Linked DNA regions of Oryzias latipes. The protein of the gene in region 3 purifies or fractionates together with the protein of the main gene of each other region. This does not show direct contact. Links are inferred from orthologs where the notes say so. Each region holds a gene or a part of one and is shown on either strand. Other genes may lie near its edges. The genes, in order: pik3ap1, inppl1, grb2, map4k3, dock1, anxa2 and garem2.

Evidence for each region.
Region 1: the proteins of grb2 (region 3) and pik3ap1 purify together in Homo sapiens (co-immunoprecipitation; 4 studies listed by BioGRID and IntAct, counting the BioPlex papers as one, with this or other methods). This does not show direct contact. The link is inferred for Oryzias latipes from reciprocal best matches to the Homo sapiens genes GRB2 and PIK3AP1.
Region 2: the proteins of grb2 (region 3) and inppl1 purify together in Homo sapiens (affinity purification with mass spectrometry; 3 studies listed by BioGRID and IntAct, with this or other methods). This does not show direct contact. The link is inferred for Oryzias latipes from reciprocal best matches to the Homo sapiens genes GRB2 and INPPL1.
Region 4: the proteins of grb2 (region 3) and map4k3 purify together in Homo sapiens (affinity purification with mass spectrometry; 4 studies listed by BioGRID and IntAct, with this or other methods). This does not show direct contact. The link is inferred for Oryzias latipes from reciprocal best matches to the Homo sapiens genes GRB2 and MAP4K3.
Region 5: the proteins of grb2 (region 3) and dock1 purify together in Homo sapiens (affinity purification with mass spectrometry; 5 studies listed by BioGRID and IntAct, counting the BioPlex papers as one, with this or other methods). This does not show direct contact. The link is inferred for Oryzias latipes from reciprocal best matches to the Homo sapiens genes GRB2 and DOCK1.
Region 6: the proteins of grb2 (region 3) and anxa2 purify together in Homo sapiens (affinity purification with western blotting; 5 studies listed by BioGRID and IntAct, with this or other methods). This does not show direct contact. The link is inferred for Oryzias latipes from reciprocal best matches to the Homo sapiens genes GRB2 and ANXA2.
Region 7: the proteins of grb2 (region 3) and garem2 purify together in Homo sapiens (co-immunoprecipitation; 4 studies listed by BioGRID and IntAct, counting the BioPlex papers as one, with this or other methods). This does not show direct contact. The link is inferred for Oryzias latipes from reciprocal best matches to the Homo sapiens genes GRB2 and GAREM2.

What each region holds. Positions count from the first base shown.
Region 1 is NC_019873.2:30,009,751-30,014,042, reverse strand, and holds the start of pik3ap1 (phosphoinositide 3-kinase adapter protein 1), read left to right. Parts: upstream 1-1,492; 5' UTR 1,493-1,936; coding exon 1,937-1,967; intron 1,968-2,553; coding exon 2,554-2,970; intron 2,971-3,754; coding exon 3,755-4,185; intron 4,186-4,292. UniProt on the Homo sapiens protein: Signaling adapter that contributes to B-cell development by linking B-cell receptor (BCR) signaling to the phosphoinositide 3-kinase (PI3K)-Akt signaling pathway.
Region 2 is NC_019871.2:21,842,837-21,846,336, forward strand, and holds part of inppl1 (phosphatidylinositol 3,4,5-trisphosphate 5-phosphatase 2), read left to right. Parts: intron 1-1,249; coding exon 1,250-1,339; intron 1,340-1,979; coding exon 1,980-2,078; intron 2,079-3,500. UniProt on the Homo sapiens protein: Phosphatidylinositol (PtdIns) phosphatase that specifically hydrolyzes the 5-phosphate of phosphatidylinositol-3,4,5-trisphosphate (PtdIns(3,4,5)P3) to produce PtdIns(3,4)P2, thereby negatively regulating the PI3K (phosphoinositide 3-kinase) pathways.
Region 3 is NC_019866.2:20,759,507-20,763,530, reverse strand, and holds the start of grb2 (growth factor receptor-bound protein 2), read left to right. Parts: upstream 1-1,224; 5' UTR 1,225-1,631; intron 1,632-3,960; 5' UTR 3,961-4,024. UniProt on the Homo sapiens protein: Non-enzymatic adapter protein that plays a pivotal role in precisely regulated signaling cascades from cell surface receptors to cellular responses, including signaling transduction and gene expression.
Region 4 is NC_019873.2:10,879,515-10,883,668, forward strand, and holds the start of map4k3 (mitogen-activated protein kinase kinase kinase kinase 3), read left to right. Parts: upstream 1-1,354; 5' UTR 1,355-1,511; coding exon 1,512-1,610; intron 1,611-4,154. UniProt on the Homo sapiens protein: Serine/threonine kinase that plays a role in the response to environmental stress. Appears to act upstream of the JUN N-terminal pathway.
Region 5 is NC_019877.2:11,960,515-11,964,773, forward strand, and holds the start of dock1 (dedicator of cytokinesis protein 1), read left to right. Parts: upstream 1-1,459; 5' UTR 1,460-1,623; coding exon 1,624-1,675; intron 1,676-4,259. UniProt on the Homo sapiens protein: Involved in cytoskeletal rearrangements required for phagocytosis of apoptotic cells and cell motility. Along with DOCK1, mediates CRK/CRKL regulation of epithelial and endothelial cell spreading and migration on type IV collagen.
Region 6 is NC_019861.2:37,467,895-37,471,394, reverse strand, and holds part of anxa2 (annexin A2), read left to right. Parts: intron 1-179; coding exon 180-270; intron 271-363; coding exon 364-443; intron 444-810; coding exon 811-870; intron 871-1,263; coding exon 1,264-1,357; intron 1,358-1,550; coding exon 1,551-1,646; intron 1,647-3,500. UniProt on the Homo sapiens protein: Calcium-regulated membrane-binding protein whose affinity for calcium is greatly enhanced by anionic phospholipids. It binds two calcium ions with high affinity. May be involved in heat-stress response.
Region 7 is NC_019882.2:19,108,771-19,112,270, reverse strand, and holds part of garem2 (GRB2-associated and regulator of MAPK protein 2), read left to right. Parts: intron 1-2,052; coding exon 2,053-2,183; intron 2,184-2,287; coding exon 2,288-2,453; intron 2,454-3,292; coding exon 3,293-3,500. UniProt on the Homo sapiens protein: Probable adapter protein that may provide a link between cell surface epidermal growth factor receptor and the MAPK/ERK signaling pathway.

The DNA.
Region 1 (4,292 bases), on a different chromosome or scaffold from region 3:
CCGTTCTCATTGGTCGTGTAGTTTTTGACGCGGTGCGTCAAAAAAAAAAAACGAACCCGAGGCGTTTTTTTGACGCTTTGACGCGTGGCGTTTTTTCGCGTCGGTGTGCACACTCTCATTGGTGCCCTTTGTTTAGTCACGAGGCGTTAAACGTCGGCGAAAATCGCCGGCGAAATTCGTCCCGGTGTGAACAGGCCTTTAAGCTGAGAAAACAGAAAAAAACATGAAACCAGAAACTGCTACAATTTTAGGAGTGGAAACATCAACAGTGTGGTCCATCCTGAGAAAGAAAGAAAGCTCTGGTGAACTCAGCAACGCAAAAAGACCTGGACGTCCATGGAAGACAACAGTGGTGGATGATGGCAGAATCATTTCCACAGTGAAGAGGAACCCGTTCACAACAGCCAACCAAGTGAACAACACTCTCCAGGAGGGAGGCGGATCAATATCCAAGCCTACCATCAAAAGAAGACTGCATGAAAGTAGACCCAGAGGGAACACTGCAAGATGCAAGCCACTCAGAAGCCTCAAGAATAGGAAAGCTAGATTGGACTTTGCTAAAAAGCATCTAAAAAAGTTCTGGAAAAACATTCTATGGACAGAAGAAACCAAAATCAACCTCTACCAGAACGATGGCTAGAGAAAAGTCTGGAGAAGGCGTGGAGAAGCTCCTGATCCAAAGCACACTACATCATCAGTAAAACACGGTGGAGGCAGTGTGATGGTCTGGGCGTGCATGGCTGCTAGTGGCACTGGGACACTAGTGTTTATTGATGACGTGACACGGGACAGAAGCAGCCCAATGAATTCTGAGGTGTTCAGAGACATACTGTCTGCGCAGATCCAGGTGAATGCAGCCCTGTCTGCGCAGATCCAGGTGAATGCAGCCAAACTGATTGGGCGGCGTTTCATAATCCAGATGGACAACGACCCAAAACATCCAGCCAAAGCAACTCAGGAGTTTATTAAAGCAAAGAAGTGGAATATTCTTGAATTGCCAAGTCAGTCACCTGATCTGAACCCTTGAGCAGCATTTCACTTGTTGAAGACTAAACTTCAGACAGAAAGGCCCACAAACAAACAGCAACTGTTTGCCGCTGCAGTAAAGGCCTGGCAGAGCATTCAGAAGGAGAAAACCAGCATCTGGTGATGTCCATGAGTTCAAGACTTCAGGCTGTCATTGCCAACAAAGGCTTTTCAACCAAATATTGGGAATGAACATTTTGTTTGCAGTTATTTCAATTGTCCAATTACTTAGGAGCCCATGAAATGAAGGGACTGTGTTTAAAAAATGCTTTAGTTTTTCACATCTTGTGCAATCTTTTTGTTCAACCCATAGAATAAAAGCTAAAAGTCTGCACTTCAATGGCATCTGAGTTGTTTTATTCAAAATTCACTTTGGTAATGTACAGAAACTACATTAGAAAGAATGTGTCTCTGTCCAAATATTCATGGTCCTGCTCTTCTGAAACTTTGCACCTTTTTAAGGAAGTGAGAACAAACATGCTGCTCACGCCCACCACAGGTAAATGTGTTTCCTTTTCCCCGCTGGGCGACTCTTTTGAGAGCAAAGGGGTCTTCAGGGGTCTGTTTGCTCCGATTCTGAGGTCTTCTGTTAACTTTTGATTCTTTGTGTCATACCCCCCCCCCTTGTTAGGCCCCTCCTTCACTTTAAATCAGTTTGGACTCAACACACTTGCAGACATGTTACACTCACAGACCTGTAAGCGGGGTATTTTCTCACTTCTTCAACTGTTTCAGGAAGTGGGGCTGAGCTACCAAAATCAGGAAATTAACAGCTGCTATTTATACAAGCAGCAAAGAGCTCTGGCAGGGGAAAGCTGGTGACGTGTCGTTCACAAAAGAAGCTCCAGAGGAGTTCCGTCTGCTAGGATGCCCGTTCTGGACTGATTTGGACCCCTTTGACTCCAGAGCCATGAATGAATCCATGTCCAGCACCAACGCAGGTAGGAAGACCCCCCCCCCCCCTCTCTGCCTCTGTTTTCAGTTGGAATTGAGTTCTGCATCAAAAGTCAAAGCTTCTGCTGATCAACATGAAACGTTTTTACTTTTTTCATCTTTAAGCCTTAAACTTTCTGTGAAACGTGAACGTCCAGAAAAGAGGAACTGAACACGTTAGCATCCTGTGTGCTTCAGCTGAGCTCATGACAAATTTCCGACAGTCTAAATTTGACTCATCTGTTCTTTTTTGCTAAGACTTTCCCTCCACCGGCTGGTCAGATGGGGGGAGGGGGGGACTCTTCTGGTTCGTTAGCGTTTAGCTGAGGTGAAGGGGAATTTAAACGACGGGACCAGAGGTTACAGAACTCTGTCATGTTTGCTCTACTACTTGTTGGCCCTGCTCCCACATTTCCATCAGAGTCACCTTCAGGGACCGCAGCACGCCACGCCACGCCGACGCGACCTGCTGCTCCGTGAACCCAGCACATCAGTCCTGAGGGGACTGAGGTCCATCCTGGTGTTCAGACTGATCTGAGGAGTTCATAATGACGATGTTCTGCTAACAACCCTGTGATCTTCTCTGTCTCACAGATGATTTGGAGTCCAAATGTGAGGTTCTGATTCTGTACACCTCTGAAGCGCATGAATGGGCCATGTATTTGCAGCAGGTCCTGAAATCTCACAAGTTCCACAGAAGGTCCATTTTGCTGTATGCTCTGAGCTCGGCCGATCTGCTCCACCAGTACAACTTTGTACATTTCCAACGCTGCAAATGCGTGGTGCTGCTCCTTTCTGGAGTCTTCCTGGACATGATGCACGAGCAGAACCTGCAGCGAGCCCTTCAGGGTCTTCTGCAGCCCCCCCACAGAGTGGTGGTGCTGTTCTGTGGGGTGGGTGAGGAGGATCTGCCGAAGGACGCCTTCACAGACTGGAGCAGCTGGAGGAAGATCTTTGCTGAAGATGAGGCTCTAACCTATGCCTCCACCATCATGGCTGCAGTGACTGACAGTATGGAACTTCTCTGAATTTGGCCCTTCCTGCTTCCCGTATTTGTCTGTTCTCCCTTTCAGTCGTGTTTCTGCAGTCATGAAACATTTGGTTACCAACACATCACAGGTCTTCCTCTTTAGGCGCTCTGCCACGTTTGAAGGGGGTGGCTGCTTCAACCAGCATCTACTCAGCACTGGGGGAGGGGGGAGGGGGGGGGGGTCCACCAAAACAATCTGCCCTTTAGGGCCACTTTGAACTTTCACAGCGGTTCAGGTAAAATTCTGCATTTACTGAATTTCAGACATAGCTGTAACATTTTTTTCACGCCATAAGCCCCACCCATCCCACTTCACGGGTCGTCAGTTTCCCCCCAGGAGTTGCCAACCACATTTCTGGAACTGGACCTGGTGTTTGTGAGCCTGCTGAGCCCCCAGTGACTCATTCTGGAACATGCCTTTGCATCAATTTAAAGCTTGAGCTCTCTGGGACCGAAGGGACAGAATCTGATCAAACTAAACGTTTGCCGACTGGTTTCTCTTCCCCTCTTTTGTGTCTCGGACTCATGCGGTTCTGTTCTGATGGGTTCAGAGTTGATCCAGAGAATTATAAAACACCAGGCTTCATTCAGTTCTCTTGAAAAGAGGCGAGACTTGTCTGTTTCCTTTTACAACAAATCAGGAGCGTGTTTCTTTCCAGCGTATAGACAGGTTAGCGTGACAGCTTCATAGAAATGTCAGATAGACGTCTTTATTGGTGACTTTGGTCAAAAGCAATGATCTGATTGAGTTTGATGTTTTCACAGGCAGACAAGCCGAGGCCGCATGTGCAAATGAAGCTGCTGTGGTGGAGCCGCCCCTGGCCGTAACGGCTGCGGTGGAGCCGCCCCTGGCCGTAACGGCTGCGGTTGAGCCGCCCCTGGCGGTAACGGCTGCGGTGGAGCCGCCCCTGGCCGTAACGGCTGCGGTTGAGCCGCCCCTGGCGGTAACGGCTGCGGTGGACCCGCCCCTGGCCGTAACGGCTGCGGTGGAGCCGCCCCTGGCCGTAACGGCTGCGGTGGACCCGCCCCTGGCGGTAACGGCTGCGGTGGAGCCACCCTTCGCCGTAACGCTTGAGGACGCCTCCGGTGAAGCAGCAGATCCAGAAAGTGTCCATGAGGAGCGTTCAGGTGTTGAGGTGAATCCATCCAAACAGCTCACCTGTCTGACTGTTCAGCCCAGCAGAGTTCAGTGTGAGGTACGCCGCCATCTTCATGCCTGGAAGCTCCACCTTTGACCTTTTCTCAGTACATTCTAGAAAATTGCTGTTAAAAACATCTAACATGGATTCTTCTCATGTGTTCA
Region 2 (3,500 bases), on a different chromosome or scaffold from region 3:
GTAGAATAAAATATTTGCAAGTAGTCCCACCTAAAGAGATGAGTTTGGTCTGTAATGTTCATCTTAAATAAACTTCCACTCTGACAGAGTGTAAAAACAAATCCAGGAAATCACATTGTTTGGTCTTTAAATAAATCATTTGTATAAATGAGGAGAAAATATAACAAAAGTTTACCCTAATGCTTTCTCATGTAACCCTGGTCTCAATGACCGAGGTCAAAGGTTTCTGGCAGGTCTTTAGTAGGTCTGTGTCTGCTATTTTGGTCCATTCTTCCAATCGGATCTTCTCAAAAGCAGTGATGTTTTGGGGCTGTTGTTGGGCAACACTGACATTACACTCCCTTTGCAGATTCTTTTTTGGATTGTGGTCTAAAGGCTAGAACACTCCAGAACCTTGAAATGCTTTTTACGTAGACACTCCTTTGTTACCTGGGTGATGTGTTTGGGATCATTGTCACGCTGGAAGATCCAGCCATGTTTCATTTTCAATTTTTTTAATGATGGGTGGACGTTTTTGACCAAAATCCCAGCAAATATGGATCCATTTCTCATTTCCTTTATACAGATCAGTTGTCCTATCCACTTTGTAGAAAACCAGCCCCAAAGCATGATGTTTCCACCTCAAGACCATTAATATCGTCCTTGGAGCTCCAGGTGGAGGGAGATTGTCAGTGATCTTGTATGTCTTTCATTTTCTAATAATGTCTCTAACAGCTGATCTCTTCTCACCAAGCTGCTTCCTTATTGTAGATTGGTTCATCCCAGTCTTGTTCAGGTGAACAATCTTGTTCTTGGTGTCCTTTGACAGCTCTTTGGTCTTGGTCATGGTGGAGGGGTTTCAGTCTGACTGTTTCAGGGTGTTGACAGGTGTCTTTTATCCAGATAACCACTTCAAAAAGTTGATATTAAAACAGGTAACAAGTGGAGGGTACAAGAACTTCTTAGGGACAGATCTTTTGTTTGTTTGTTTGTTGGAGATAAATTCTTATTTTCTGCAACGTCAAACAAATAAATTATTTAAAAATCAAACAATGTGATTACCTGAATTCTTTTTTTACGTTCTGTCTCTCACAGTGTAAGTGTTTCTATGATGAACATTACAGACCAAACTCATAATCCTTACTAACAAACACTTTTTGTCTCTCTGTAATTACTATAGAGAAATTGTTTGAAGTGACATTTTAGTTGACCTCTTTAATTGCCATGTTCTCACAGCAGTGGCTTCTGTGTGTCTGTCTTAATCCATCAGTCAGTGAACCAGGGTGGAGACCAGGAGTTGGAAAACTTGGTGACAAAGTTGGCAATTCTGAAAGACCTGTTGTCTTCCATCGAGAAAAAGGTATACTTCATCCTTAGTCTGAGTGTTTTCCATTCTCTTTGCTTTTTCTGCTTTTTCTAGGCCGCTTTGCTGTGTTTTGATTTTTGGGCTTTAGCATTATTTTACCATCTATTTCCGAACCTTTGTTTATCCCCATTTGGATCCTTGGTGTTCCACTTTAACGGGCTCTACTGATTTCTTCAGCATTTCACATTATTTAAAGTTATTTCTCTATATTCTTCATCTATTCCCTTTAGGTTGACTTCTTTCTCCAGTTTAGCTGGAAACATGCTGTCAGCTCCAGAGGGATTCTTGATCAAAGCTTTGATTGGTTTAAGTTGAAGACATTTGAAGTTGTTTCTTTGTTAAACACACACTTGAGACTGCAGAGCATCACATGGAAGTCTTCAGTGGGCTCTGGGGGAGATGGCCTCCAGTGCAGGGAAGCTGCATGTCTGGACATGTGATGAAAATAGGTCTTCCTTCCCTGATTCTCAAAGGAAATGCTGACGTTAAACCCATTAGAGCTGACCATGACAGTGCATTTTCCCTTCTTTCACCGATGCCCTGTCCTTTTGCAGCCTCTTGTGTTTCCTTATGCTCTTTCTCATATTGTTTGTCCACTCCCCCACACTCACACACTTTCTCTTTGTCCCTTCAGGCTCTGAAAGCACTACAGGACATGAGCTTGTCCTCCCCCTGCTCTCCTCCTCCTTTCTCCATGCGTCACAGCAAAGCCATTCCTGTTCAGGCTTTTGAGGTAAACACGTACAAACTCACACGTGCACGCTTGTGCGCTTCATTAGTAGTAATCTGCGTGTGGGGGTGGAGCTCTGTATCTTGCAAAATACTTATATCCCACTAAAATGCTCTGAAGCGCTCATGAAAAATGTTTTATAGATTCTGCTGGTGCAGGATTGAGTCATATATTTTTTTTTTTTCAGTAAACAGAATCTTAAAGATCAGTAACCCTTGTGCTATCCTAGGCACTTTAACGTTGGGAGTTGGGTCATCTAGACCCACTAGACAGTGCTCTGAACCTTTTTTCTTCAATGATTTGTGATCTTCACTGGTGTCCATGGATTACATGAAATCTTTCCACCTTTATCCACCTTTGTCATGGTAGGGAGAACACGTCAATGTAAGGGTGGGGTCATCTAAGATAGCACAAGGGTTTTAAGCAACTTTAAATTTAAGCTGATGATTGCTTTTGTCACTGAAGGTTTGTTCCTCACAGCTGATGCCTCAGTGGTTTATGGCATTTTTCCATAGAGAATGGAAAAATAGTTTCAATGAGAAATATTAGGAACATTCTAGTCGGGAGACAAAAGCTGAACTTGGAGCCTCACATAACAGAAAATAGATGAACTTTAAATGGGCTGGAGCCCAGAGTGAAGGAAAGAGCAAATAAGTGAGGTTGAATATTAGCTGATAACTCAGTCTGAATCATCCTGGCATGAGTTTAGTCATTTCCTGTTGTTCAGGAAGAGAAATGTTTACCCACAAACAGTCTTACAGTCATACTGTAATGATTGAAAGTGAGAGATTCCTTTGTAAGTTTTTGCAACTCTTAGTATAGATTTTTTTAATTAAATTTAAACAAAAAGAGGGAAGAAAATGATGCACAGAAACCAGAAAAGCGACACATTTTTTGCTTTTTAGACCCACAACAATGAAAATTTTTGTTTTTGTTTTTTTATATGTTTTTGTGGTATTTTTTTGATGATGGAGGACATTTACTAAAAAATTTAAGTTCAAAATTGCATTTCTGATTATTTCTTTATTCAAATCATTGTGACTCAGGCAGACAAAAGAAAGCTTTTTGGTCGGTGGGCAGGTCACAAGCTCCCTGCTCTCCTCCATTGTGATGCATCCAATTGTAGATGACTAGATCCATGTACGTCTTTGTTTTCCTCGTCAGAGCTGGCATATGGCTCCAAACTCTACAGCTGGATAGCTCCAATTATGCTTGCCATTTTTGTTGCACCAGTAATCTTAGATTGGGTGCGTGAGGGGCTGTAAGATAGCTGGAGAGTGATGGGAAGGAGGCGGGGGTTGGTCCACGCCAACAGTCCCGACCACAACTCACAGGTGAATTTCTAATGCCGCTGACTACCGGTACTGCCGCTCTGCAGAAACTATGACCTAGAAAATGACACTGAGTTTTGATTTTGGTTAAAAA
Region 3 (4,024 bases):
GTGATGTCATTGTCTTGGGAGGTGTCGTTCTCTATGCCCAAAATTTATTTTCTCCAAGGACTAGGCGTGTGCAAATTTTGGTGACTGTTGCGCATGTGGCGTGAGTCAAATTTTTGCTCAAAGGTGCAGAAATTATTGTGACCTTAAATTGATCATTTGTGGCAAAGGATTAGAATTTTATTTGCATAACGTAGCATTTTTTTGTGCGTAAAGTAGCATTTTCTGAACATAAAGTAATATCTTAGTATCATCAATGAAACACTAATTTGTGAGCACGAAATGCAAATTTGGGTGCACAAAATACATTAGGCAGCCGCAAAATGTTCATATGTGCAAACAAAACACTAATTCTTGGCCACAAAGTACAAATGTATGCCCAGGAAATACAAATTTGTGTGCAAAAAACACAGAATTGTGCCCAGAAAATATTAATATGTGGCCACAAGATACTAAATTGTGCGCACAAAAAACACAAATGTATCCAGAAAATACTTATTTGTGGCCACAAAATGGTCATTTGTGCCCACAAAATACAAATTTGTGTGCACAAAATAGTGTGCACAAAAAAACAAACCACATTGTGCACATAAAATACTCACTTTGCACATGAAATACAAAATTGTACCTAGAAAATACAAATTTGTGCCAACAAAATACTCATTTGTGTGCACAAAATACAAAATTCTGCCCATAATATACTAATTTGTGTGCACAAACAAACATTTTTGGCCACAAAATTCAAATGTGTCCGAACAAATACTAATGTGTGCCCACAAATCTATGCCCGAGTAATACTGATTTGTGCACATTAAATACAGAATTGTGCCCAGAAAATACTCATTTGTGGCCACAAGACACTAAATTGTGCACACAACATACACAATTTTACCCAGAAAATACTATTTTGTGTGCACAAGATGCTAATTTTTTGAAAATGCCCATAAAATACTAATTTGTGAATACGAAATACTAAATCATGTACACGTTTTTTGAGGTAACAATTTGTTGTGGGGTTTGTTTGTTTGTTTGTTAGAATGTCACATCCAGGGCTCCGTACATAAGTGAAACTGAAATGATTTTCTTTATTCCCAAAAAACTATAAGTGCAGAGGTTTTACCAGTAAGACTAGCGCAAAATTATTTTTTGATGTTTCCGATTCCGTAAGTTTGAGACTGCGTGCCGTTTTATTTTTTTTTTTTATTTTTTTTTAGTTTTTTTTATACCAATGACTTCTGTAATTCTACTTGAGTAGCATTATCTTGAAGTTGCGCAAAAGTCTCGAGTGTGTTTCCAATTTTCCCCTCTGCCTTCAACAATCCACCGTGGGACTGGGGACGCTGCGGCAGACCGTCACGGAGACTTGTCCTCCTGTCTGATTCACGAGCCGAGCGGAGCTGACAGGGAGGAGCTCCAGTCCCAGCAGCCCGCACAGCCCCGCAGCTCTCGGTGGAAGGAAGCGGAAATAAACGTCGAGAGCAGCGTCTGCTACCAGCTAGCTTCAGGCTCCGAAAACGGGCTGTGAGCGATTCCTCCTCGTCGGTTTGCTCTCCATAGGAAGCAGGGAGAGCTTAGTTTACACGATATCGTTTGGGTTATTACGGAGACCGATCTGAAACGGAATATCGTGAACAGTAAGTTAATCTTGTCGCCTTTTCCTGATGTGAAAGTTGTACTTTTATTTTCTCGACGCCTTCAGTGGTGATATATCTAGGCTAACTCTGAGTTAGCACCGAACAGCTTTGCGGTGTAGGGAAAAAAAGATGTTTTCTTCCTTTCACGTTTTCTATTTTGTAATCGCACTTGGGGATAAAAGTTGTGTTCGGCCTCGTCGTTTTTAACCGGTCACGGCTTTTTACAGGTGTTACCGCTGATATCGTTGTTGGTGTAATTAAATTTGGGGCAAGTTTGATAATGACACCGCACCGCAGTTATTGTTGCTCGACCGTTAGCTGGCATGCTAGCTCTAATGTTCTAGAACAGTGGGCGCAGTCTATTCACTGGAATTGGTTCGATCTACTACATCACTCCTAAAGACGCGATCATGAGAATTGGTTGTCGTTAAATAAAACAATATTAAACTTCATCCTTCGTGTTCATGTCTATAAAATAACTGTTTTAACTATGTAAAGTGACGAAAGTCAGGACCTCCTGAAACTAGCCTCTCGCTTCGTTTGTTGTAACGTTTTAACTTTAAAATCACCACCGATTTTTTCTAATTCTTTTTTTTTTTTTTGCTAGTCTTTTGTCTGCATGTAATTATGGAGGGATTTGCGTTACTTATTTATGCTAAAGGAAGCGGCGCCACGTTGACAGACACTACATTTTGGAGAATTGCTTTTATTCCGACTCAAGTTCTAATAGGCGCCGGAAGACGTGGAAAAATGTGCTAATTGGCGAAAGTAGCCTGTTGAGTGGCGCTGTGTTTGTTGTTCTTTTGTTGTCATCTGGCTTGCTGTCAGCTTTAACGACCTTACTAAGTACTGAGTTGTAGTAGAGTGAGCTCATCAAAGCTGTCCGGTAGAGTATTAGAAAACGGGATAACGAGTCTCTATCTATTTAACTGGACAACTTTAGCTACTGTATCACTGTCAACCCTGCTTAAGCTAACCAGTGCTTTATCTTTGCAGGAGCTTTAGATTAAGGTCTTTGGGAATTGTCACTAGTTATTGAGTGACTCCTAATTCTCTGACTGTTGACTAAAGTTAAAAAAAAAAAAAAAACTGCGGAAGTTCGCTTTATTGAAGATCTTGAGATCATTTTGAGGACATAAATGAACCATTTTTGGATAACATGGAAAAGTATGTGCAACGTTTGTTTGACATGAACCGGGTTCGTCTAAATTTCTTATTGGTAATATGTCAAAAATTTGCCTCTTATTGGTTGTCAACACATGGTTTTTGATGGCAGAAGGGGATTTTTCCCTCTTCCTCTTAACCACTTCTTTCTAGCACCTTTTTCTGTTTTTTTATAGAAATAATGAGGAAAGGGTTTCTCTGGGGGGGGGGGGGTACAAAGCACAACATTGTTCCATATATGCCCTTATGTCTTAAAGTCCCACTCCAATCATCTTTTGATCTATTTGCAAGAATCCCCACTGGTGTTTTTATTATATTATTTTTATTCAAAATCAATAAATCGGAGTCGTTTTTTAGGACAACGATTCTACAGAGTGTCAGTAATTCATTAGAGGTTTGCCTATGAGTTGTGGCTATAACTGTTGGGTGTGGTGTAAGCTTCCCTTGATTTCCCATCATCCCTTTGTTTACACTCTCCCGCTCTAGCTTACAGCCCCTCACAACCCCCAGCTAACATTAGCGGTGCATCAAAAGTGGGGAACAATCTTGGAGCTATCCAGTCGTACAGTTTAGAGCCAGATTCCAGCTCAGAGGAGGAAAACGAAGGCGTACACGGATCTATTTGTCTGGAAGTGGATGCATCAGAATGGAGCGGAGCAGGAAGCTTGTAGCCTGCTGACTGTAGCGTCTGCGTCACATCTACAAGCTTGTTCATAATCTTTTTTCGTCTGCAACGCGATTTGAACAAATAACTACACAATATGCAATTCTAAGCCTAATTTTCTTTATTTATGCCCTCCATAGTGGGAAAAAAAAAGAGTAAATTAAAACACAATTTTCATCAGAGTTTAAGCCCTTACAGTTGTGCAATTTATCTCATTTTTGGAGGGGTTCTTGAAAAGAAAATGAAATCCTGGGCATAAACACTACTGAAGATACAAAAATGATTTTTTTTTAAACTAAGTTGATTGTTTAAGTTTTTAGGGTGACAGGATGTGATTAGTATGTCATCAAGCACTATATAACAAATTTAATGTTTTATTTTTTATTTAATATGCCTTCAAATACCCTTGAGGATACCCATATTTGAGAACCACTGGTTTAGAAGTGTCTCAGCTGCAGTAACAACCATCGAACTGATCACCACGTCTTTTCTGATCTGCAGGTACAGCCCTGTGACCTTTATGTGAGGTGAAAGTCGTAAAGGAGCGGGACGGGAGGAGAGACTC
Region 4 (4,154 bases), on a different chromosome or scaffold from region 3:
AAAGTAAAAAAGCAAACAACTTAATAATTCAATGTAAAAAGAATAAACTACAATGTTAAGTAAAAAAATCTAAGAATAATATGTAAAGTAAAACATGACCTAAAAATACTATGTGAACTAAAAAAAACTTAAAAATTGTATGTTTACTTGACAAAAACTTTAAATAATTATTAAGTAGTAGTAAGTAAAAAAAAAGATAAATCTAAAACCCTTTGTAAAGGAATAAAAAGCAACATCACAAAGTAAAGTAAAAAGCAAAACAACTAAAAATATATATAAAGTTTGGAAAAAGAGAAATGTTATGTAAAGTTTAAAAAAATTAAAAAATACTTTCTGAAGTAAAAAAAAATCTTGATGCTGTGGTTTAGCAATGAATGCTTAAACTTTGGCTCAGACTAATTTGATTTTGTTCTTAAAAACAAACGTTTGAAATATTTTATTGTTATTTCCTACTTCATCCCATCAGAATATCGTGCACTGCTGCAATTTTTAATCTCAAATTCTGGAAATTTCTTGTCCTTTAAAGCTTTGAGTTTAGTAACCATAAAGAAGATAAAATAATCATGAAATCATACGATAAAATGTTACAGTTGAGTTATTCTTGTATAAACTGCATTTGCAGTCTCAAGGCCTGTTCACACCGGGACGAATTTCGCCGGCGATTTTCGCCGACGTTTAACGCCTCGTGACTAAACAAAGGGCACCAACGAGAGTGTGCACACCGACGCGAAAAAACGCCACGCGTTAAAGCGTCAAAAAAAAAAAACGCCTCGGGTTCGTTTTTTTTTTCGACGCGTCGCGTCGAAATCTACTCGACCAATGAGAATGGCGCTTTTGCTCACGTGTCTGGAGCTTCTGAAGTTAGAGTAAAACACAACTTGGGGGCGCTCAAACACAAAACTGCCTTGCTGAGCACACATACCAGCGAAGAAGATAGACGCCAAGTAGCGTCTACACTGCCGCGAAGCAATAATGACGTACATTCTAAAATATCCCCGAACCAAGCACCAGTTGGAGCTACTGGTGCTTGAAATATTCATGTTTTCTTTGTTTGATTCTGACAAGCGTGTAAATACTTGCTCTCTTCTTCTGAGTGAAAAGCGACTTTAAGAAGCGTAAAGTTGCGCAGCGCCACCTTGTGTACAGGAGTATTTCTGTTTTACATTAAGCGCCATCTAATGTCAGGGAATGAAATTGCATGTTCACTCCACTCATCGTCAGCGAAAATCGCCTGGGTGTGAACACAAAAAACGTGGCGAAAAACGCTGGCGAATAACGCCTGGCGAATATTCGTCCCGGTGTGTACGGGCCTTCAAACGCACCATCCCTGGAAAACAACTTTTATCCCCCGCGCATGCTCAGTGAGTCCGCGCAGGAAGCCATGTTGGATCTTCACACTGGATTCAGGCAGAGATTTTTTGACACCGTATGTTTTTCCTAAAATATCCGTTCACCGTCTTCGTCGGGGGTGCATCCACCGCGCGCGATCGGTGCCGTAGTTGGCAGAGGACATGATGAACTCCAGCATGGACCTGTCCCGGCGGAACCCGCAGGAGGATTTCGAGCTGATCCAGAGGATAGGAAGTGGGACCTACGGAGATGTGTACAAGGTAACGCTGCAGAGAGAGGGGAGCTTCCAAGGGGTTCCATTTTCGGACACCTAGCTCAAAACAGTAATTCATAGTATTCCGTTCTTAATTTTTGGGGAAACATTAAATATTTTAAAAATATTTAAATTTTCCTTTTTTGTTGTAGCACAACTTTGAACTTATTTAATGGCTAACTGATGTTTTCGTGGATAACTCCGATGTGCGTTGCATTGACAGAGCTGAATTGTGCTTATGGCTGCTCCACTTTATGCTGCTCCATTCGCATTATTCCCGCAACCCTTCCTGTTGATATGTTTTTATTAAGTTGATACAGTATACGTGAATGTTATAGCTGCAAATATAAGGGCTCATCGGGAAACTAAAACCATCAATGTTTTTGTGTTTTGGCTAACTTCAAGCTGTCCGAAAATGGGTACAGGGGTCCTAGCATAAAACAGCTAGCTTCTCAGATTCTTGTGAATTTTAGTACCATCAGGCAGGGATTTGCTTAATGGAAGACACTGAAAACGGTCAATATTTTCTCTGAAAAGGCAAATATTACACCAGTTTAATCAAATATACCAGTAGTATGTCCTCTCTGCCCTGTCTGGGCTGACAGCTGATTCGGCTAAGGCGTTAAGCCACAACAACAACAACAATAACGACAACAGCGGTCAGATGATCGCCTCCAGTCGGTGTTTAACGTCTTCTGCTGTCCGCAGTGACTTTTAGAAGTTCCTAAGAGCCCTGATTCGGCCCTGCCGTGTCTGTGGTGAAGTTTGGAGGCTCCTGCTGTCAGTTTAGCAAGGCCCCACGGCTTCAGGTCAGACCTCAGACTGCAGAAAAGAGTGGGACAATCAGTTTAGAGGAAAAACGTGCAGAAACATGGCGAGATTTGACCCATTTTACCTCAGGCAAAAGTTTTACCCATCAGGCAAAGGTTTTACCCATCAGGCAACAGGTTTACCCATCATGGCAATGGTGTAACCATCATGCAAATGTTTAACCCATAAGGCAAAGGTTTTAGAAGAAAGAGAAGTAGAAGCCCCTCCTTGCTTTTCCAGTGTGAACACTATGGGCTAAATGTGTTTAAGATAGGGGTGTGTATTGACCAGAGTCTGGCGATATGATTGATTGTGATATTTTACCTGAACATATTTTATTTATTTAAAAAAAAATATGACTTTGAAAAAACTCTACCTGAATTTTAATGTCTTCCACTGTTATAAAATGGTCAAATTCAGTTTAGTTAATGATCACAATGTTAAGCACTGCAACTCAGTGACGTGCGGTGAGGTTAATGGCTGGTAAGGCACTGACGTCAGTCAGATTTACAAACATATGAACCATACTGAGTAACTTATTCACCATTTGATTGACAACAGTTAACGTGTTTTGTTTAAAATATCATTTCAACATGTTTTTTTTTTCATATGCAAACTGCAGCATAGAAAAAAACACAAACGTTATTATCGTCTTACCTTTACTTGTAAATAAAGTCCATACGCCGCTCCTTCTGAAGAAAATGACTTGCCGCTTGGTATCACTTCTTCTATTGTTTTTTAGCGTCATAATCTCAGGGCTCACCGGCGCCCCCTAACATGAGGCACGAGAATGTCTGGCCTCACCCAGCGGCTTTTTTGCCGGCGTTTAGCGCTCAGCACAAGAAACACGTCCCTCACATACAGTTATTTATAAAAACAAACACTGTACATCATATACATCTGCTAAATTATGTAAACTCAGCTCATATAGTACAAGTGATTGAACCGACATACAGAGACAGCAGTTCCGTCTGACTGCATAGGTATTGCGCAATCCAAGGTGAGGCTCAGCGGGCTGGTGCCTCATCGCACGTCACTTCTTATTATCTGAACGGCAAATGCGGAAATTCAGCGATTTTGAAAAGAAAAAAAACCCAAAAATGGTCCATTTAAATGGAAAATGACTGCAAAGCACAAATTACTGATTAAATATAATAATTGAATTTATTTTTTCTCTTTTCTTCCCATAATGACAGGTGAGGCACAGCCTCACCTGCCTCTCCTGACTGCACGTCACTGCTGCAACTGTATCTCATATACAAGTTGCGTTTACCAAAGCAAATTCATAGTGCTTTTATTTTGGTAAGTTGAAAGTATAGAAAGGAAACGGTCAACATTGTCTGATTTCCACAACAAAATATTTTTCAGTATAAGAAAAAACAAAGAATGAGAAAATAAAATGCGGTTCATTTTCAACATGTAGCTTCTCCAGTACTTTTAAACAGTTCAGGAGCCTGAATGGTGCTTTAAAAATAAAAGGGGGGGCACACACGGATTCTTTCCAGAAACAATAAAGTGATGATGATGAGTCAGCATAACAGAACGAAGGTAAATTGCTTTAATGTGACAAAGGTGCTTTGTTACATATCAGTCTGCTCTGCTGAACCTTTGCAGACACGCTTCTCACACGCGCAACACTCCTCCCCACGATGTCGGCCTTTTTTTCAGAGCGTTGTACACATCCCTCTGATCCATCAGGTCGTTAAACTAGAATCTATTGATGGGAGGTTCTGCAGAACTT
Region 5 (4,259 bases), on a different chromosome or scaffold from region 3:
ACCTTTTCCAGGTTTTATCCTACTCCTTTCACAAAGACAGCTGGGATGGCACCAGTTGCTCAGCAACGCTCAACAGGATAAAGTTGTAGTAGAAAGTGCTAGAATTTTTTTTGACATTCTAAATATATAAATATACAAATAAAATTATAAATAGAAATAACATTTGTGCCACCACTTACTTGGAGGGTGAAAGTTAAAATTTTGGATGGGGTCTAAACTGTCTTGTGATCAAGGTTGACTTTTTGACAAAAGATGTACTGTAATGAGTTTGAAAGTGGGAGCTCCCTCTGCTGGTTGAATGCTAACATGACATCTGTAGGTGAGGGAAGTCATGGGGGCGTGGGGTCATAAACTGAGGCAGGTATTCTAAATTTATGGACAAAGAAGGAATTAAATGTACTATAACAAAGAATTTTACATTCATAGATTACATTAACAGAATTTTGTTACTGCCTCAGAGAGAAAGAGTTTCAGTATCATTTAAGCCAGAAGCCCATCTAAGGTCCTTTCGATTTATTATTATACACAGATAATGAAGAAAAAGGTAAATAATGAAAGAAAAAGCTGTGGATAAACAGGACAAAAAAACTGTATTTTTTAAACATGACCTAAAACAAAAAGTAAATGTCAGGGTTTACTATGTATTTAACTCACAGAAGCTGTTAATTTGAAATCATTTTTTATAATGAACACTGATTTTATTTCACTGTTTTACTACTGTCAAATAAAAACAATTAGTCAAATAGGTAATATTCTTGGAGATTATTATATAGTTCTTTTGACAGACTGGCGACCTGTGCGGTGTGTCCCCTGCCTTCGGCCACAAGTGGCCGGGACAGGCTCTGGCAGCCCTGTGACCCCGAAAGGGAATAAACGAAAGGAGATAAATAAACGAATTATTAAATGTTTAAATCAGTTTTACTCTCTCTTTTTCACTTTCGTTTACCTAATCTCTCATATAAAGTCAACATTTTTTGAGTGTATACTTTAAAAAATATAAAAGCACTTAAAAAAAAGTTTTAAGCAATAATTAAAAATGAGAGACATTTTTGGTTTTGGCATGACATAAAACTGAAGGCACTGATGCAACTCTCAAATGCTGTTAATTTATTTTTTATAAAGAATAATACATTTACTATTGAAAATGTTCTTGGATTTTTAATTTTCTAAATTAGGTTTTCTTACCTTTTTTATTTTTAAATTAATCCCTCATATAACAACATTCGTTTCAAGTGTAAACTTTTTCAAAATAAAAGCACCCTTTAAATTTTTGCTAAAACCTTTTAGGCAAAATTACTAATGAAATACCTTTTTTTGTTTTGGTATATCATAAAACTGATGGTTTGTCTTCAGGAATGTGTTTGCTTTTGAAGAAATATGTCTCAGCTCGTCATGACGTAATTAGGATCGGGCCGCAGTTTGTTTGTAAGCACCAGGACTGCCTGAAAGAGGTTTTTGCTCCGCCTCGCCCCCTGCCGGCGCGTCCCGTCACTGATGGAAAATGGCTGCTCGGAGCAGCTCTCCAAATCTGGGAGAAAACTGAACAGAAAAGTCTACTTTACAACTAAGCAAACACACCTGGAGTTTTTCTAACTGGCTGAACGGCATCTCAGGGACGCCTGAATGATCAGAATGTCTCGCTGGGTCCCCACGAAGAAGGAAAAGTATGGAGTTGGTACGTAAGAAAACTTCCATCGCTAGCTCGTCCCCCTAGCCCTCTGCTCTCAGAAGTTCAGGGAAGAATTGTGATTAGAAAACGAGAGTGAACGGTTCTCGCCGGGAGGTTTAGAGGATTCACGGGCTCGCATTTGACTAAACTGGAGGAATGCCAATGATTCTCGGGGACACTTTAGTTCAGCGCTGGTGGTTTGCATGGGACGGTCGCATGTCTGCGGGCGTCTTTTGTGAGGAAGAGGACCGAGTGTGGATTGGGAATTGTTAGAGGCGCGCCTAGTCGGAGCGGCGCCGTTTCCTGTGTTTTGGGGCCTCCGCCACAAAACTTGAACGACTTTCGAGCCCAGTTTGATTTGTGACTTGGAATAATCCGCGCTGTTGGTGTTGACGGCGGGGTCCTACAGGGTTGGAGTCTGCTCAAATGCTGGTGTTGTTAATTTTCTCGAGTTCCGCTGTCACGTTCAGCCTCCACTGTCGCTCCAAAGACCCACTCCGAGGAAAAGGATGGTTTTAACATGTTGTTGTTTCATTTTTCTGATGATGGAAGACATAAATGGAAAATATGAAGAGTATTTATTTTTTCAAATCGTTGTGAATCAGGAGCAGATCCATAAAAAAAGAGCACGTGTGTGTGTGTGTGTGACGCAGAAAATAAATACGCATCGCATGGCTTACTACTCCATTTTTCTGATGCATCCACATGTACACACATGGATCCATGTACGTCTCTGTTTTCCTTATCCATCTGGCTCACAACTACACAGCTCCAGTCTGTTACAGTTGGGGGAAGGGGGGGGGGGGTATGGGCTGTAAGCTAGCGGGAGAGAGTGTAAACAAAGGGATGATGGGAAATGGGGGCAGGCTTACTTCACGACTGCATATGCAATGTCATAGAAAAAAACTAAGATTTTTTTTGATTGTGGCTAAAAATGACAGTCATAATTAAAAGACCACCGGGAACTTAAAAAAAAAAAAAAAAAACATTGATCGGACAATCGGATTTTGACTTTAAAGGAACAAACATCACAAAGAGCGTCTGGTGCTGGAAATACTGAGCTTGCATGCAACAAGCTCATGTATAAGTCATTAAATTTAGTGATTTAAAAAAAGCCAATCAAGATATAGTAAATAAACCTTTAAATGCACAAGTACATACTTCTGCATATGTAATAAAACGGTAAATACAACCTAAAGGTCCCTTTTATGTGACACTATGAAGGTCTATTTTCGAGCCATGAGGCTTTCTGTCAGATGGTTTTGATCTTCACCACTTCTCTATAGTCCTTCCTGAAAGTTCTGCAATGAATATTGTGTGTTCTGATGAACACAAACACACACACACAGCTCCTTAATTCAATAGAATCAAACTCACCCATCTGTTTACACACTCTTTCCCCCTAGCTTTAAAGCCCCTCACACCACCAACCTAACATTACCGGTGCAACAAAACCGTATAGCTTTGACCCAGATAGTCAGTCTAGACGAGGAAAACAAAGTCGTACTTGGTTCTATTTGTCTACAAGTGGATGCTTTAGAATCCACCGGAGCAGGGAGCTTGACGTACTTTCTACATTTTTAACTTAATTCTTTAAATACATGTCCTCCATCATCAGAAAAAAGTCTCAAGAACATGTATAAAGCACAATTTTCATCGGAGTGGGTCTTTAAGTAGGATCACCATCTGCTCCTCTTGTATGCCTAAAATGACTGATTCTTTACTTTTTCTCATGTTTTTGGCCTATTGTTGTTTATCTTCTAGTTTTCCTTTTTTTGGGTCCTGCTAGTGTTTTAAAAAAAATCTTTTATCCGTGTATTGCTTGTCAGTGGTGTGTTGAGTTTCTTTTTGGTTATCTGCAGGGTTGTTTCTAAGGCAACAGCCCCATAAACTAGTCCTTTATTTTTTGCTAATAGCCATATTTTATTAGGATTTTTCCCAATACTTTCCCTCTTGCACTCCATGTAACACGTGCCCATGCCTGATAATAGAACCGTTTTCAGCCACATAGGGTGATGCTGATGCTGACTGATGGGCGATTTTAACAGGTTACTCTAAAACCTGAGCTTGGACTTTTAATTGAGCTCTTGTATTTTCAGTCCAGATTGTGCTGCTAGATGGAGCATTTGTGAGTTTTTTTATTTGTATGTGGCTCCCAAAACTATGCAAACCTAGATGCTAACGATTTTCTTGTTATTTTCAAAATCCTCTTAGGGCTCTTTCAGTGCACGAGTGGGTGAGTCATTAGTTGAAAGAGAGGCAGCTGCCAAATTATGGTGACGGAAGATTGTTGGGGCATGAAGCTTTTTTTTTGTGTTTTTATTTTTTTTCCCCCTTCACTTTTCCAAACTTCACATGTTGACCAAGTAGCACTAATGAGCGCTGTGTGAGACCGGTCACGCTGTCGGTGCTCACTCTGCATCCATTTCCGTTTCAGCCAAACTTTTGTCCTGCTATTTAAAGGCTCTCATAATGGTCCCCAAGGCTTTGTTAGCGTACGTGTGAAAGATTTCCCTTTTATCCTTTCTCAGCAGTATGAATGACAAATGTTGCTGTCCTTATACATAGTGTGTCAGGGATTTCCCCGCCC
Region 6 (3,500 bases), on a different chromosome or scaffold from region 3:
AGACCAATGTGTTTCGAGGTTCATCAGGTTAAGCGGTTAAACGGTGGCTACAGGCTCGTGGAGAAGAGGCTGACTGTGTTGTTAGAAATGTGCTAAACATGAATCCTGTGTGACACCCAGTCGTGTGACGTCTTTACCTCAGTGCTGCTTCATAGATGGGCTTCTCTGTTTGGATTCAGGGTCTGGGAACTGATGAGGAGGTTCTGATCGAGATGCTCTGCTCCAGGAGCGAAGAGGAGCTGATGGAGATTAAGAAGGAGTACAGAGAGAGTGAGTTCAACAGTTCTCTGCTTCAAATGAACCAAAATGTGAGAACTTGGGTTTAAAAACGCGTTAGCATCAACGCCGTCTGTGTCCTGTCAGTGTTTAAGAAGGAGGTGGAGAAAGACATCGCCGGAGACACGTCAGGGAACTTCGCCAAACTGCTGCTGGCTCTGGTTCAGGTACGTCCAGAACACGGAAACCTGCTAACATGCTAACATGCTAACATGGTAATATACTGAATAAAGGTTCATTTGAAAAAAAGTCAATACAATTTTCAATCTTGAAATAATGATTTAAAAGAAGATCACATTTTTTTAAATATCTTTCCTTTTTTTGCTTCCTTGCACTGCGTTTTTTTGTCATTTTCTGATTACATTTAAAAATACAATCGTTAAAATCAACTCGTTTTACAGAATATCCTGATCTTATAGTTAAGAAAATCTTGACCTGTCAAACCTGTAAAATCCTGTCCACGAAGCTGTGCTTTGATTTTGAAAATCTCTTAGCACTATGTATGTTTGACCTTGTGACCCTAAACTTTTCCAGACAAGAAGAGACGAACCCTCCAACGTTGTGGACTATCAGAAGATCGACGAAGACGCCAGAGTGAGTGGATCCTACGCCGTTTCTGCCAGCTAGCGTGTTTGCGGTCACTTTTTTATTTACAAAATAAAACTTTCATGCTAACGTCACCACAGAGTAGATCTGACATTTCAAAATAAAATCTGTATTTTTTTTCTGTTAGAGCTTCACAGACAAACAAACTGAGCCTGAAACGAAACATTTTTCATGAAATAAGTTCAACGTGATAAAGACGACGGCTAAACGGATCATCAAACTCATTCATGATGAGAAGAAAAACTTTTTCTGGGCTTAGAATAAAAACATCACAGACATTTCCGGTACCGTGTGAGGCGGCTTTCCTCCAGGCTGGATCAAATGCTGACCGCCGGTTGTTGGAAACTCTCAGCATCCGTCCGTCTTCTGTCTCCTCCTCAGTCTCTGTACGAAGCCGGCGTGAAACGGAAAGGAACCGACGTGACCACCTGGATCTCCATCATGTCGCAGCGGAGCGTCCCACATCTGCAGAAAGGTGAGACTGAAAAGGAGAAAAAATAAGTGACAGTGACAGAAGAAGAAGCTTTCAGAACAACATTCTGAACAACAAAGTCCTGATTTAAAGGCATTTTGTCTTCAGAAACACGAGCAAAGCAAATATTTGTGTGTTTTTGTAATTGGTTCATTTTCTAAACACTGAAGGTAAAAAAAGTTTTGTTTCTTCAAAGTGTTTGAGAGATATAAGAGCTACAGTCCCTACGACATCAAGGAGAGCATCAAGAAGGAGGTGAAAGGAGATCTGGAGAAGTCCTTCCTCACTCTGGGTACGTCCAACCAACGGGATGCCTGTGGAGAACGCGTTAGCCTGGTTTTAACCTGGTTTCAGTCTAATTTCAGCCTGGTTTTAGACTAGTTTAAGTCTGGCTTCAGCCTATTCTAGCCTGGTTTGGCTTGGTTTCAGCATTGTTTCAGTCTGGTTTAGACTAGTTTCCGGTGGGTTTAACCTGGTTCAAGCTCAGTTTCAGACTAGTTTCAGTTTGGTTTAAACCTGGTTTTTGTCCCTTTTTCAGCTTCACTTTCATTCGTCCTATTTGTCGGTTCAAGTCCCAGGTGAGTCGGCTGACCTCCTGCTGACGTCTCATTGGTCCAGCCGTATACAGAATGAGTGATTGACAGCGGCTCAGCTTGCAGAAGACTGAAAAGTCAGCAGATAAAACTGATCATCTTCATTTCTGAGCTTTAAATCAGTCTCATAAATAAGTTTCAATAGACAGTCATCTGCAGAAAAAATGTTTCTGTATGAACTTCTCCAGTGTCTTTAGCGCTCTCTGGTTGGTGTTGTCGTGTTCCATTGGACCTGTGGTTGTCGTGTTGCATTGGACCCGTGGTTGTCGTGTTGCATTGGACCTGTGGTTGTCGTGTTGCATTGGACCTGTGGTTGTCGTGTTGCATTGGACCTGTGGTTGTCGTGTTGCATTGGACCTGTGGTTGTTGTGTTCCATTGGACCTGTGGTTGTCGTGTTGCATTGGACCTGTGGTTGTCGTGTTGCATTGGACCTGTGGTTGTTGTGTTCCAATGGACCTGTGGTTGTCGTGTTGCATTGGACCTGTGGTTGTCGTGTTCCATTGGACCTGTGGTTGTCGTGTTGCATTGGACCTGTGGTTGTGATGTTGCCTTGGACCTGTGGTTGTGATGTTGCCTTGGACCCGTGGTTGTCGTGTTCCATTGGACCTGTGGTTGTCGTGTTGCATTGGACCTGTGGTTGTTGTGTTCCATTGGACCTGTGGTTGTTGTGCTGCATTGGACCTGTAGTTGTTGTGTTCCATTGGACCTGTGGTTGTGATGTTGCCTTGGACCTGTGGTTGTCGTGTTGCATTGGACCTGTGGTTGTCGTGTTGCATTGGACCTGTGGTTGTCGTGTTGCATTGGACCTGTGGTTGTTATGTTCCATTGGACCTGTGGTTGTCGTGTTGCATTGGACCTGTGGTTGTGATGTTGCCTTGGACCTGTGGTTGTCGTGTTGCATTGGACCTGTGGTTGTCGTGTTGCATTGGACCTGTGGTTGTCGTGTTGCATTGGACCTGTGGTTGTTATGTTCCATTGGACCTGTGGTTGTCGTGTTGCATTGGACCTGTGGATGTCGTGTTGCATTGGACCTGTGGTTGTTGTGTTCCATTGGACCTGTGGTTGTTGTGCTGCATTGGACCTGTGGTTGTCGTGTTGCATTGGACCTGTGGCTGTCGTGTTGCATTGGACCTGTGGTTGTTGTGTTCCATTGGACCTGTGGTTGTCGTGTTGCATTGGACCTGTGGTTGTGATGTTGCCTTGGACCTGTGGTTGTCGTGTTGCATTGGACCTGTGGTTGTCGTGTTGCATTGGACCTGTGGTTGTCGTGTTGCATTGGACCTGTGGTTGTTGTGTTCCATTGGACCTGTGGTTGTCGTGTTGCATTGGACCTGTGGTTGTCGTGTTGCATTGGACCTGTGGTTGTTGTGTTCCATTGGACCTGTGGTTGTAGTGTTGCATTGGACCTGTGGTTGTTGTGTTCCATTGGACCTGTGGTTGTCGTGTTGCATTGGACCTGTGGTTGTGATGTTGCCTTGGACCTGTGGTTGTGATGTTGCCTTGGACCTGTGGTTGTCGTGTTCCATTGGACCTGTGGTTGTCATGTTGCCTT
Region 7 (3,500 bases), on a different chromosome or scaffold from region 3:
TTTGGAGCTCTGCAGCAATTGACTGTACAGAAAGACAGTGACCTCTTTGCACTCTGTGCTTCAGCATCCGCTGACCCCTCTCCATCATTTTACATGGTCTACCACTTGGTGGCTGAGTTGCCGTTGTTCCTAAACTCTTCTATTTTGTTCTGATAGAGCTGACAGTTGACCGTGGAATATTTAGGAGAACAGAAATTTCACCGCGTCAAAGACCCACATCAATCACCTTTTGATCTATTTTCCAAGAATTCACCTTTGAGTTGTGGGCTGGATTGTTTATGCAGAGCAATTGCTGAGAGCTCGATCTTCAGCTAGCTTACAGCCCCTCACACCTCCAACCTAACGTTAATGGTGCAGCAAAAATGGCGAGCAATGCTTGAGCTATCCAGTCCTACAGTTTAGATCCAGATTCCAGCTCAGGCGAGGAAAGCAAAGACGTACATGGATCTATTTTTCTGACATTGGATGCATCAAAATGGAGCGGAGCAGGATGCTTGTGGCCCGCCCAGCGTATTTTTTACGTCACAAATAAGATGTCCGTCAAACAGCATTTTTCCATCTGCTCCTGATTCCCTATAATTTGAATACACATTTATGCAGAAATGCAGTTTTTAGCTTATTATCTGTCCTCCATGATCAGAAAATGTCCACAAGAACATGTCAAAAACACCAAGAACACCAGTTTCCTCAGAGTGGGTCTTTATATTTACCAACTACAAAAACCTTTTGACTTTATTCTATAGATTATGGAGTTTCTCATTTTGGCCTCCCTTTGGTTTCATCCTTTTTCTTTTGTTTATTTTATTTTTTTTAAATAAACAACAAAGTTTTCTACAGATAAATCTCTTAGCAAACAGAGTGCTTTTACTTTTCATCTTAACGGACGAGGGGCACATCCCTGACATGTCTGTTGTACTGCATAACTCTGGTGAAGTAACAAAACCATGTTTTTAATTACACAAAGTGTTTCCATGCAGAGATGAGCTAATGTCTCTGGGATGACTTCATACAGGAAGTCTAAACAGGCTTAGGATGGGAGAGATATAGGTTGACTCCTTGGGATGGACAACAGGATGCATCCCTGTTTCTCATTCTGACTCTTCATCCTGCCTCACTGGGAGGAGTGTGAAGGTCGAAAAAGCTGAATGATAATGAAGGAAACCCACCCTGTACTGTGCTGTGGATTGTGAAGCTGAACTCCAATTTGTTGTCAAACTTTGTTTGCTTTTTAAAGCAGGGTGGGTGGGTTTTGGTTGAGCTGAAAGGTGGATCCTGTTTGGATTGGGAGGGGTTTGATATTCTGCCCTAAACACTTTGACAGTACAAGAAAAGACCGGCTTTTGTTGCAACTTGTGAACTTGGGTGAATCAATCCTTTTGTCAGGACTCGTTTGCGGTCGATAAAAGCCAACCATAATTAACAGCTTTGACAAAACAGTCTGAGCTTAAGGAAAAGTAAAGAGATGGTAAAAGAAGAGAGTTGAGGATGTGAGTGTCTCCATGGTGACAGGCCTCTGCTCAGCGTGAGAATAAAGGTCTTTTATTGGTTGCCATGCCAACTCTTTCGGCTGTCGATCGGCTAAGAGGCGTTGCCAGGTCAGAGGTCAAATAAGTGTCAGTGTTTTCACGTCCAAACTGTTTCCAATTAGTTGCTATTTTGAAAGACCCACTCCAAAGAAAATGGTCTTTTTAGTGTTTTAAAATGTTCTTGTAGCATTTTTCTGATGATGGAGGAAATATATTAGGAAAATTATGATTGAAATTGCCTTTCTGAGTATTTCTGTATTCTAATTGTTGTCAACCAGGAGCAGACAAAGAATGTTGTTTGAAAAAGCCTGTAAATGTGACATAAAAAATTATGCTGGGCGGGCCACAATCTCCCTATATGAGGCCCTCAGAATTATAAGGTGTGTTTTGGGGGGAAAAATGAAGGCCTTTTAGTGCAGCTTAGGTGGTAGAAAATACGGTAATTAAAAGACCACTGGAAAACTTTTAAAATGACTCAAAAGATGATCAGATTGGGTCTTTAAATTTTCGGTCTTCTTCTTTGCAGGCAAGTTCAAGCTGCTGGATGAAGACCGGGACGTCAGCGATCCTGTACAGTATTTCTCCAGCGTAGAGGAAGTTGCCGCCATCTTCCCCGACCGTGTCTTTGTCCTGGAGACGATCACTTTCAGCGTGAAGGTCAGTCGAATCCAAAAAAACGCTGACCAGCAGCAGGTTGATTTACGACATTTCCCTGAAAAGTCCTTCCGCAGTTCCACATCTCCCGTGTTCACGTTTTCCAGGTGGTTTCAGGAGAGTTCAGTGAGGACAGTGAGCCCTACAGTTTCACTCTGCAGGCTGGAGATGAGCTGTCACTCATGGGGAAGGCGGAGCTTCTTTGCGCCACTTCTCCAAAGGAAAAGATCGGATTGAGCATGCTTCTCCGACGTTTAGGCAAGACTCCCAGAAGTAGGTCGAAAATCCTCAGAAATTCTGTTATTTCCATGTCTTCTCTTAATATTTGAGTCTATAGGCCTCACAAACACACATATACACACTCTGGTGCTTTGTAACGTCTATTAAAACAACCATGGATATTATTTCAAATATAAGAACTCACACTGGCTACAATTTGTGGACGCTAACTTAATAATTTATGGGGTTCATGTATTTTTCTTCTCTTGATCCACATCCAACCTGCCACTAAACATTTGATGATTGAAACATTTTGTCCCATCCTTCTTCCTTCTCGTCAGTAGAAGCATTTCACAGTATTGTCTGCACTATAGAGCGCAGCTGGACCATAAGACGCATCGTCAATGAATGGTCTAACTTTGTCATGTGGCTCACCAAACTAAAAGGCGAATTAAGCGAGACAAAAGAGTCAGCCATAGGTCTGTCAGTCTTTATTAACTCTCAAACTTGTTTGCAATGTGCTACATGTTAGCCACATAAGTAGAATTAGCCTCGTTAGCATATTCCCACTACCATTACTCTCAAACTTGTTTGAAACCTGTATTAAAACAGTCTGAAACCACTAAAATAAACGTTCCTGACTTTGCTGACTCCCAACCTTCCTAGCAACATGTAAAAAAAACAGTCCGACAGCTAGCATTAGCATATTAACAATAACACCCAACCTTGTTTGACTGACAGACCGCCATGTACCAATTCAAAATCCCTTCTTCCTGATTGGAAGAAGGCATTTGCTGTAACAACAAACCATCCTTAAAAAATGTACCATTAATAATCTGGCATTACTGAAGGTTCAGTGTCCTAAAACGTTTGTTTGATTTTCGGAATTTCAGGTAAAACTCCCTGCCTGGTCTGCATGAACCATCGCACCAATCAGAGTGTCAGCTTGCCCTTTGGCTGCCGGGGACGCTTCTGCACACGTTCTCCCCTGGAGCAAGGCATGCTGGGAGGAGAGCACACAGTACGGAGCATCATAGAGAGAGTTCGCCTCCCAGTCAATGTCTCTGTTCCATCTCGACCACCACAGAACCCCTTTGATCG